Drosophila melanogaster: one gene and its partner. The protein of the gene in region 1 interacts with the protein of each later gene in a pairwise test. Each region holds a gene or a part of one and is shown on either strand. Other genes may lie near its edges.

Region 1 (4,150 bases):
TAAATAAATAACAACAACAAACAGATCAACAACAGCAACAAAGCCAACGAGCATAGAAAGCAAATGGAAATTCTTTTGTTTTATAAAAAATAAAATTATCTAAAGTCAAAAGTAGCAGAATGTATAAAGTAAACAAAACGAAAACAAGAACACGAATTTTGTATTTTTAAAATCAATGTTTAAAAATATTAAGAAGCGCTTGCAGTCAGGCAATAAGAGCGAGAGAGCTAGAGAGAGTGCCCAGGAAAGAGACGGGGCTAAATTTAAAATTTTAAGATCGCGCTGCCTGCTTTACTTTCAGTTTATATCTTACAATTACACCACAAACAAACAAAAAAACACCCACAAAAAAAGTATAAAAAAATTTATAAAAACTTTGCTAAAAAAAAATTATATGTTTGATGTTTGCTTTCAATGATGCACAAAACCGAATTTCTTTGCCCTTCAGCGAATCGCGCTGAAGTTCACTACATTTTTGGCGGATATGCAAAGTAGTCTTCAGTTTTTTCCACCGATTTCTCATACTCTTGGGAAACCCCATGGATGCTGGGCCGAAATAACCAAGTCCGAAGTGCGTCACCACTTCATCGGAGATGGATCACGATCCGCAAATCGAGGCCTTCATTGCAACATCTTTAGCATCCGCGCTAATTGTCAAAGCAATGAATAATGAAAGTTCAGTTATCTGTATATATATGGCATATATACACATCCTCAGGGTGATTTCCAGATATGAATTGTAGATGTGGGCAGCTCGCCGTTTTGACCATCAATAAGTGAGTTAAGGCCGCGTTCGACATGTGGGTCTGTTGCTCTCTTGGCCAAATGGACTTTCTTGTAAACTGAACTCGAATTGAATTTCCATTTCTCCTCGCTCTTCTCGCGACGTTGGCCATAAAATAGTTATTAAATCGTTAAGTGGTGTGTTAAATTACCCACTTAAAGCGCCAGTCATTATTTACATAATTTACATTATGGTATATGGAAGCTGGCAGATATGTTCATCTTATGAAAAAAAAAGAAAGAGTCATTTCGAGTTTAAAAAAAAAAACTTTTGTTTTTAGCTTTTAAAAAGAAATATATAGAGAACGGTTGATATTTTAAAAGCTGTTATCTTTAAGATAGAAGTTGAAATATGAATGATTATTCCATGTTTATATTGCCCGGGGAGGAACTAGAAAATCGCCTAAGTTACTTTCTTAGTTAACCGCATTCAGAAAGTCATTCCTCACAAGTCGAAGAACACCCAAATGAACATGGCACATCCAGCACACCAAACTCCATTTCATTCAAGTTTAAGCCAGCAGTTTTCGCTTCAATTGACAGCCGCGTCAATTACCTAAGTCTGGGCCAATTTGGTTGGAGTGCAAACAAACAGTGGGTCGGACCGGGCCGGTCCACAAAAGCGGCGAGCGGAGCAGTAGAGATGCCGATGAAAAGCCCAATGACTTACATTTGCCCACCACAGCCAAGCGAAGGAGAAAGTGAAATTTTGCATTTCTCGGCGGCCGGCAGCAACAACAATGGGTCTTCGGTCTGGTTGGGTCTGGTCTTGGCCATTGCCATTGGCATGGTATTGAAGCGGTGCGACGGTAGCAGGGAAGAGGGGAAGGAAGAGGCGATCAGCGAGCGGAGCGGACCAGGCCCAAAGTCAAGCGCAGAGCTTCAGTCGTGGTTTTCAGCTCGACCCAAGCGAACGGACGTCTTTGAACAGCGGACGCGGCATAAACCGCACGGAAAACGCAACGAAATCGAAAGTGTTCACCACGCGACTGGAATCGCCAAGTGCTTAGCGAGGCGGGGGCAATATACCCATCCGTAAACATTACGTGTCACCATGCCGCCGGCTGGTCAACAACTCCGGCTTACGGCCCTTGTTTATCTGGCATTAGGTATTGCACTCTTATGCAATGGCAGCGATGGTGAAACTAGGCAAAAATACGCCAATGAATCACTCGCGGACGCAGACGATCCATCTCCAGTTTGGTCGCAATTTCTCGAAGATTACGTCTTGAGGTATGGTTACAGGAGGCTAGGCTAGGGCAACACACTCATCCAGATCTTCCCACGCGTCTGTCTTACATATAGCCAAGGCAGCAGTAGCAGCGGCAGCCAGCGAAAGTCCAAAGACCTGCCTTATATGGGCGCGGACATGGGCATCAATGGACCGCTCAGCTATCACTCGTCCGCCTACAAGCGACCCGGCAACAATATCTACATCACCAGGAGAATTGGCGAGGCGGTGGAACTAGAGCCGCATCTGCGAAAGCCCGTGGAGAGCCAGAGTCCCATTGTGAATCCTCAGTTCCGACCCATGACCAATCAAATGTTGCACCAGCAACACCAACAGATGCAGCAACAACAGCAACAGCAACAGTTGCAGCAACGCCAGCAACCGGGTTTCCTGCAGCAGCTCTTTGGCATAGGTGGCAGTGGTGGTGGTGGTGGTAGCGGTACCCAGCAACAGCAACATGTGCGACCAGTGCCGCTGCAACAGCAGCAAGTGCAACAGATAGCGCAGCAACACCCGCAACAGCAACATCTTGTGGGCGGTCAGCCGACCACATTCCGAGCTGTCTCCGAAAATGATCTTTATCTCTTGGGAGCCATTGAAAAGTTGGTGTATCGAGTGGGTAAGTTGAAGTCACACCTAGGAGTTCTTGGTCTAAGTAAAAGCAAACACCCATAGATTACCTGGAGAGTCGCGTGCGGCGCTCGGAGCAGCTGATCTACTATCTGATGGCCGGAAACAATCAGAAGGAGGTGAAGGATCCCTGTCCCGCGAACTTCACGCGCATCAGCGACAACTGCTACTACATCAACAGCCAGCAGCAGGTGAACTGGAAGACGGCAAACTCTGCCTGCAAGGGTCTAAACTCCCACCTGGCCGAGTTCGAGAAGGTCTCGGAGAATGAGGAGATCATGGCCTATCTGCTGAATCAGCCGACGCATCGTGGTCGCGATTACTGGCTGGGCGGTCTCAATCCTGGCCTCCTCTGGATCTGGTCCAATTCGGCTAAGCCGGTGAATCCCAACATGAATCTCACATCCATTGCGATGGCCCAGAAGGGGGAGAACTCGACGGCCGCCAATCTGGTGGACAGTTCGGAGCAGGCGGCAGAGGAGGCGACCGGCGAGGATGTGCTGAACAACACGGTGCAAATAGAGGGCAAGGGTCGCTGCCTACGGCTAAGTTACAATGCCGGAAAGCACAGCTATGTGTACTACGGACAGGAGTGCACCTCGCGGCACTACTACATCTGCGAGCACGAGGACAAGACGCTGGACAACAAGATCAAGAAGATCACCCGCGAGCTGAAGCTGTTCGAGTGAGGATGGGATGCAACCCATTCCGATCCTCATGTGATACTTCAAGTTACCTAGCCATATATCGCATAATTTCAAATGAATTTATTCTTGTGTTACACATTAAATATTTATAAATATTTATACAATTAATAAACATACCGGATAGTTTTCAAAACGTTTTTAAGGATACTTTGTTCTTGCACAGCGAAGCTTAAAGGATTCTTTTTTTTTCTCCAACGAAAATACAAAAGAGAATATTAAACAAAATCGATACTGGAACTGGGTTCCGTTTGCGTTAAGCGGAAGGTATACACAGAGATCAACGCTAATCCGGATACAGGTAGTCCTGCAGGATGTTCTGGAAGGCTATCTTTATCTTGCCGCGATCACGGCCGTTCAGCTTTTGGATGTCGGGCAGCAGGCTCATCAGAAACATGGCATCCGGATCGGTCTTGCAGTCGCACAGCTCCGCACCGCCGTTGGACACGGATCCGCCGGACGCGTTGTTGGCTTCCAAACGCAGAGGAAGCGCTGACGGCGGCACCTGTGGATGTCCTCCATGCATATGGTTGTGCCCATGCCGTTGACTCAAGTAGCTACTGCTACTGCTGGCACTAACACTACTACTGGGCGCCATCGGGGTGGCCACGGCCGCAGTGGATGGTGTGGGCAGTTCCGCTTCGGATAAGCCAGCAGTTCCTGGAACACCTCCTCCTCCTCCGCCTCCGGCGTGCGTTGTAGTGCTAACCAAATCCACGGGCTTGCTGAAAGTAGGTCGCACAAACGAAATGTTTGGATGGGCAGTCGGCTGTGCGGAGTAGTTGACCCCGGCCACTGCTGC
Region 2 (8,290 bases), on another chromosome or scaffold:
TGCAAACATCAATTAGGCTGGGGTACCTACCACAGTTTGTTAGACGTCGGAAGAGGTAGCGCAATCGAAAAACGTTAGCTAAACTGTCACTCAATCTCAGCGTTTAGGTTGATAACTTGATAACTGTCAATGGGGTTTAATTAAAGCTGTAACGACTTGATTGTACCCGCATGACAACAAAAATAAAGCGGCCGAAAAATCCAAAAACAAACGCGTGAGTCAATTGCACATTTCACTCGCCAACGCCCGACAAGTATGCTACAAATATTTGCTCAGCGATACGGATATGCGTAACGGAAAGATATGCGGGCCAAATAGTGTTCTGAAAACCGAATCCTCGAAAGAAGATTACACGGAAAACTAATTTAGTAAATGATAAGGTCCGCTGAGTTTTCATGTGTATAATGATTTTTGGGTAATGATTTATTTTATTTATTTTTACAAATAAATGTATATGATGATATATATTAATTTCATTATAACTTCATAAGAAATATATTTATATATGACATATCAGGCTCTGTTTCCCGGAACACCAACCACAAATTTCAGAGTAATTAGCTGCGCTAATTTGTTTATCATTTTGTTTGGCACGTCGGCACATGGCGAGATTGCATGTGCCAAACCAGAAGGGCGTGACGCATTTGGATGAATCGGTGGCCATTTGGGTGGGTGGACTTCGGACTGATGCAACTTAAGTCGCACAATCCGCTTGCCATAAGGAGCGTAAAGTATGAAGAAGTGGAGGAGAGCGAACGAAATAAATAAAGACGACTATAAATAGCAGGTTCTGGCCAAAAATATGACTTTTGCCGCGCTACATGAGGAAGCCTCCATCCAGTGACACTTTCCCCTGCCCGCGAGCACTTAAACTTTTCAGCGGGCTATTATTGGTTTTCTCTGCGTAAGTGTCATCTTCTGTTGCCCCAGGCGATTTTCAAGAAAACCCTATATATGCTTATTTTCCCGGCCCGCCTTTTAGGCCAAAACAACACACAGTCACACACACATACATACACACACTCAAAACAATAACGAAAACATCGAAGGATCGTTTGGATTGCCCTCCATTACTAACGGCAATTTCACATTAAAGTGTCATCATTTTCAAGGCCTGCGGGCTGCGACGGTTGTTGACATCCGACTGGATGGATGTCCAGACCCTTCGATTCCTCCTCTGCGATTGCCGTGTTCCTTTTGGATTTGCAGTTCAACTGGGAGTCGGACGGAAAGGATGGACTATTGGCCGAGGCCATTGCCGTTTAAGTTTAGGCAGCAAATGTTTTAAATATACACATTAGCTATAAATATAAAATTTGATTATTTTTTAATAAACGCCAATAGAAGGTAAAAAAAAAACAGACATCAAACCCTTTCGAATTAAATTTTATGAGTTTACCACATTTAAATAGATTTTTTATCTTTTTCCAGTATTTATCAGCCTGACTGATAGGCTATATCATCATCGATCTATAAATATAATCGTTGCCTAATTCATAAGTGCAGCAATATGACAATACCATTTTGCACTGGAATATGACAATGCAATTACATTTAGGCGATTCGCTGGAAATTTTCAAATACATTTCCAAACTACCGGCCTGCAGGGATTTCCGCAGCGTCATGCTTGGCAGGTCCTTTGAGGAACTTTGAGACCTCCCACAGAAAGGCGAGATTCCGAGAAACGAGTGACCCGGACTATTCAGAATACGTTTCCGTAAACAGGGCCGTCAACAAAGGCTTCTATCCACCCCAACCCGCAGATAATTTATCACCTTGCCACGTGACGTCTTTTCGCGACTTGTTGTCTACTTTGCGGCGCATATCGTGATCCTGCTGAATAATTGCCACCGACATTATTCATTCGCGAATATCGCGCTAAACTTTTTAAATGTCCCCAAAATATTTCATTGATAAAAACGGCCGTGGCTTCGTTTTCCAAGGAGGAGTGGCCAGTAAAAGCTTGTTTGAAGCTTTTACGCAATTTTTGGCGCCTTTACATCGGCTCGTTGAAATCGACGCACTCGTCATCGGCCGACGATGGCAACGAATCGGTTTCAACTTCGGATGCGGCCTTATAAAAGGAAGCGGCTCCGCGAGTCAACCACGCAGTGTTCAACAAGTAGTAGGTGCAACAGTTGACAGTATTCCGATTCTGATTCCGATTCAGTAACTCAAACGGTTTCCAGGAATATATTTTAAAGTGAGTGTTAACGGTGTATTTCGAATATCAGTCACGCCAAACTCTTTAAGAAGTTTCCAAAAAATATCTTGTGGTCTGTGTTTAATTTAAGCCAGTCGATTTCATAAAAAGGATAACTAAACGTGACGTGAAATCTTAGTAATGCCGTCGCTTTCGTCATCGATTACAGTGTCGTCAATGAAACTCGAAATACGCGCCTAAAAAAATAAATAACAATTTGTGGACATATATTAAATATGCCAAATAAGAACAGGAGAACTCTTATATTTAAAACTATTAAGTGAATTCGTTCTTAATAATACAGAAATATTTTTAAGGCAAAGAAAAGCCAGCTAAAACTTAATTCATTAATTCAGTACTTTTTCTTTGGTAAATTATTTTAATCTGCTCTTATATTTTGAATTGTATCAGAAGATATTTAACACAAAACTACCTTTGGCTTAAAACTGAAAATTACCATAAAGATAGAGCCTAGCCATTGTAAGTTCTCTTCAAAAATAAAAGTAAAATTTTCTTATTTTATTTCACCAACGCTTTTTACAAGAAAACCCCATTTATATGATTAATTTTATATATTATACTAATCTTGTAAATGTTTAACTACAATAATTTATTTTTATTAATTTATTAAAGTTCAAGCTTTTTAAGCACAGAGCATCACAGCTGAACTAGTTAAATTTAAAAATTCATTTCATTGCACTGGTGAGCTTACAAATTTTGGGAAAATTGGTTTTAAGGTTACTCGGGACAGCAATCCATAAATACTTTATCAATGTCAATAACTCAAGGAATTCCCACCAATGCCAAACACAAATGTCAATAAACCAATGAAAATCTAGGAGAAACAAATAGAAAAAAGCATCAATATTTGTTGTCCCCGACCTCGTTCTCTGTTTCAAACCCCTTAAGTTCCACGTGCAAAAATTCCTGACAATCGTATAGAAATTTAAAAAAAAAAACTGAATCAATCGAAAGCATTCCAAAGCTGTTTTCATGTCACAAAAATTCAGCATCCCACAGGATTTTCTCCTGGAGAATGTATTTACTGAAATTGGTTGTGCTATTTCTTTAGACATAGCAACTGAAAAGTATATCTAGAGGTATTGACTTACATTCCGCAGGCTATACTTTTCATTAAAGATTAGTACACGATTTTGTAGTTGGCGAGGATTTAAAACTGCAAAAAAAATACTTATGAATTTCATGGAATTTTCTTGGCTAGCACCCTTTTTTTGATTTTTCGTAGCAATCATTGCCGTCTGTCTGGTCCTTTGGTTTGGCTCAAACACTTTGTGTAACCTTTTGTGTGCAAATTTTGACAAGTATCCCAGATGGTCGGATTCAATAAGTAGAAAAGTTATGTAATATCCTACCCAGGATTGTTACGCACGTAGACCGTGTCTAATTGGCCGGACTCCGGCGACAAAATGTCCGATGCACTTGACCAACTCCACATCCTTAGCCCTAATTAAGCAGTTTTTCCGCCACACATGTCCAGGTGGTACGTAGGCGAATATAGTGGCAGATAAGGCCTATGAAAATTCCTTTGGGTTCGTGTGCGTTTCGGTTACACTTCAACTCAATTTAGCAATTAGCTGTGCGGTTATTGCGAAAAGGAAAACAGGCGACGGGTAAAAATGAACGTACAATTATATATGGGTTCCTGAAACTTCCCTCGCTTCCAAGTTAATTTCATTTTACCTTGGGGACATCGCCAACCAGGGTGAATTCCCTTCTTTTGCTTTTTTTTTCCTATTTTTTGTTTTTTGGGCTCTGTCCACTTTTTGACACTGTGTCAACAAGTTAATTAAGGCATTTTAACAACGATTCGTGTTTGCTTTGTTTACTTATAATTCGTTCTCTCCGCAGCAATTTCGAATAAGTTGTGCTTTCCCAAAAATAACGCCAAAGTGTCGCCCACTTAAGTGAGTGCCAATAAAAGAGGAGTAATTGAAAAAGTTTTCTTGCAGGAAATGCCCGAAGAAATTGCAATTTATTTCCAAAATTAATACCAAAAAAAAACAGGAAAATCGCAATGCACTTAAAGACCTAAATCTACGAGAGAACATTGTTCGCAAATATTTTGACAAAGTTGCAAATTTTCAATTGAATTTAATCAAAACGTGACGAAAAGTGAAAAGAAAATCATCCACAGAGAATTTCTCTTTCTCCGAGCAATTTTAATGAACCAAATGCAACCGTCTTTATTTTTTTGAGAGGGCGTGACAGAGTTGATTTGCTTGATTGATTTATGTGGTTAACTAACCATATAAATTGAGCTAATTTCAATGTATTTATCTGTGAGGTAGAACAGATTTTCTGGAAAATATTTTAATAAAGATTAATATTATTAAATTATAGAATTATGTAATAAATTATAATTCCTTAAAAAAACAGACGCTTAAACTTTCGCAGCAAACAGCGCTTTAATTATTTACCAAGCCCTTAATTAAATAATGAACTTTGGATTTCTTGGTGAAAATTTTCACACTTTTTTGTCGAAATTTGTCTTAGGCATACATTATTTTCAGTTGCTTGGGCAGACAAATTAAGCCGATCCTAGACATCTCAACCAGCGAGACCGCAAGTGCCAAAAGTTTCAGGCAACTCATTTATATTGCTCGTCAAGCGAATGTTTTTTAAACGCAAAAAAATGCGATAAGGTTGGCGGGTTTCCCCAAAACCCCAACAACCAGGCTCCTGAGCTAAATGGGCTAAAAATACGCTGCGAAGGAGTTAAGCCCACTCGCTCACTTCGGCGACGTCCCATCCTTAATTAAATGAAACGACAAAGCGCACAGAGTGGGCCCAGTATGAACCGCGATGCAGTACCTGACATAAAAAATATTTATAAAAGCACACAAACACCTACTGCACAGTGGTGGAAATCTATGCGAAAAGTAATAGCATTCTTATCAATTTTAATTAGAAACATCTTTCGTTAAAATCTACAAGAATTATAGAGTAGCTTTCATTTGTCTATAAATAAATGGGATGTTAAAAATTAGGCAGTACTTTTTAATATTCGAATATTAATATAAATATATTATTTTTCTGATAGTTGAATTGTGTAATTTCTACTTTATAAACAACATACTGCATCCGTCTTTGTTATTAACTATTTGTCTGCAAAGTACACAACCTTTATATTTTTACCCAATTTTTAAATAACGGCCTTAGTTAGTGGAAAAGGAGTAGAATTTGTTTGCCCGTATGGCCCACGGTTCTTCGCGCGAAGAAAGATTAAGCAGGAGCGCAAAACAAAAGCCCCAGAATCAGCCGCCAAGTTATCCAAGAGACGCCCTTTTGACGTTTGGCACCCACCGCCCATTTCTCCAGTTTCCCTCGCGATTCTCCTACTTTTGGCGGGGGTTTCTTGGTTGCTTGCGTGTTTATCTGAGTATTGTTTGCTTGAGCACAAAGAGACGCCCACACGCACGGCATAATGGGGCGGATGGGGTAGGTATCCATCCCATGGCCGTGGTAGTGACGGTAATTACCCTCTTGTACAAACATCTACGCTTTTTTTTTTTTTGCCTTCCAGAGACATCCACATCGCCAACGACCCGCGCACTAATCCCGAGCTCATCCGCAGAGGCTGTATGAACATGAAGCCCGACATCCTAGCGCTCTGCATCCTGGCTACCACGATCCTGTGCAGCAGGACGCGTCACGTCGCCGGCTTCCTGACTGCACAGTCCACCGCCAGCGGAGGAGCAGGCGGAGCAAACGGTGCCAAAGTGGGTGACCATCAGGGCGTGGCGTCCGTACCACAACGTCTTCATTTGCCCGTTCTAGCGGTCGGGGGCGGACCCGTTCGCCAAGGACCCGCTCTGCCCGGCGATGTCCTGGATGCCCAGGAACGAGCTGTTTACGATCCCGGCGATGGTGAGTCATAAACATCCCTATTACCGCTTTCCTTGCCATGGTAAACTTCCCGGGCATCAGCTAATCCCCAGTCGAATTAAAAGGATAGCAACTGCATCCAAAGACCATTTCAATTAAATTGTTATCGGGTTCTTTTTGAATGCGAAGACGTAATCGTGGTCAAGGTGAATCCTATAACCAAGCTATTCCATCGCCCTATAAAAATATATAGACCTTATTTATATTAGCCAAATTAATAGGCATTCTGATCCATAAAGCTGAGGAACTGGAACTGAATCTGTTCAGGAACTTTAATAAATGAACTAGTTATTTTGTTGTCATTTAGCTATTTTTCTAAAATATTTTCAATATTTAATGGCAGTTATGGCCTCCTATTTACTCCTCACCTGAGTACATGATTACGTTCAAAATTTTTGCTTGCCGACTTTTAGGCGACCCATTCGAAAGGGGTGGACCAAGAGTTAGGGTGACCCATGGCGTGCACTTAGCCGTAACCGTCGCCCACCATCTCTATCCCTAATGGCCATGGTGACCACCGCTCGCTGAACATTTTCGGTCAGTGCACAATTTTTCAAGTGCCTCACATTGTTGACCATCGCACAATATGTGGAGCATGTGTTTGTTTGTGCTGAGCACTTAAAACGCCCACCAAACTGCCCGGGATAGATTTTCAAATTTGTTGACGAATTTGATTCGACGTTTGCGTTTTACGTTGCTACCACCTACCTTCTACCAACCGGCAATAAAATGTCATATCCGATTTTCAATAAGCGAACTTGTTTTCCAAGCGATTTGATAGATGGGTAAATGGATTGGAAATTTAACGAATATCGATTTGGTTTGAGTTGGTAACATTTGAATTTTTGGACATGATCTTATAAACATACATATATGAAACAAAAATTTAAATTTATTTCTGTTTCTGATCTCGAAACTATTTATTTCAATTGAGGAGTCCTTAAATTTAAAACTGTAAATGCTTTGGGTTCATGAGCGTCCGCTGTCTGCGGCTCTTTGAAGAGACATCGAGTGGACAGTGATGGGCAGACTGGATGCCAAATGCGACAAAAGGCAGTCAAGGAGTTGCAGTGCCTGTTGACTTGACTGACGGACGTGGTCGAAAAGCCGAGAAGGCTTCCCCTGCCGCGGAGGGGAAAAGGAATGCTGTGGCCATAAACTCATTGCCGCCAGTCAATTTCCGCCAGTCCATTGAAACGACCGAAGAGCCGGGGGAAAACATATTCCAGCCAACCAGGACAGACAGACAAACAAACTATTCAAACTTTCAAATATCAAACGGCGGAAGTTTCCGATGGCAAGGAGCAGGAGTCGGGGAATTAAGTGGGAGTGGGAGTGGAAGTGGGAATGGGAATGGCAATGGCGTGGTTGTGGTCGGATTAGCGACAGCTTGAATAAACATTCAAATCGCAAATAAGGTCTTTGGCTTGCTCATTTCACGGCAGAATTACTCCGCGCCCAGGAGCTCGGATTGGCAGTGGTTCCTCAAGGTCCCGACTACGCGGATGCGGTGTACAACGAACTCGAGCTGGCCAGCAAGTTCGAGGTGCTCAAGAAGATGGAGGAGGATTTGCGTGCCGAGCAGGAGCTGGTGGACAAATCCGCTTTGCTCATGAAAATGCTGGAGGTGAGTGCGAAGACAGGCTGTCGAAATTTCGATGAAAATGTTGAAAAATACACGGTAAATTAAATTTTTTTAAAATATTAAACATAAACATCAAAACATATTAGCTTTTGCTTATAAATAACTTTTTGAGTAATGCATACTTAAGTGATAATATTTTTAATTTTTATTAAAATTTTAACACAATTTTTTGATCTATGTGCATTTTTTCGCTCAGGATCCCTCATTGGAAACCTTGCCCTTGGTCTACGTGGAGGAGGAGGAGCCGGAGGCTGTGATTCCTTCCGGCGGAGCCGAGGACTACGCCGACTTGGAGAACGCCGTTCAGGATTTGGTTTTGGGCCAGAGCAAATCCAAGCGTTCGCGCTACTATCGAAGGTATCCATGGAAGCGTCACAACAAGAATCGCGGGTAGGTTGCTTTTCTATATTTAAACATTATTCACAATAATCCGAAAATCCACCAAGCACTATACTCAGCTCCATTGACCGCTAATTAATCGAACCCACTTTTCATTTGTAGTTAGTAAATGTTGTCAGTAGTCTTTATGCAGTATT

The links.
Region 2: the proteins of CG14866 (region 1) and CG7191 interact in a two-hybrid assay, tested with the Drosophila melanogaster proteins (one large-scale study listed by BioGRID).

The regions. Positions count from the first base shown.
Region 1 is NT_033777.3:15,314,806-15,318,955, forward strand, and holds CG14866 (uncharacterized protein), read left to right. Parts: upstream 1-1,665; 5' UTR 1,666-1,837; coding exon 1,838-2,016; exon of another isoform or gene 2,017-2,088; coding exon 2,089-2,633; intron 2,634-2,689; coding exon 2,690-3,333; 3' UTR 3,334-3,480; downstream 3,481-4,150. Other genes in the region: CG6276 (uncharacterized protein), read right to left, coding at 3,635-4,150.
Region 2 is NT_033779.5:7,765,515-7,773,804, forward strand, and holds the start of CG7191 (uncharacterized protein), read left to right. Parts: upstream 1-2,113; 5' UTR 2,114-2,203; intron 2,204-5,747; 5' UTR 5,748-5,805; coding exon 5,806-6,091; intron 6,092-7,554; coding exon 7,555-7,736; intron 7,737-7,950; coding exon 7,951-8,144; intron 8,145-8,290.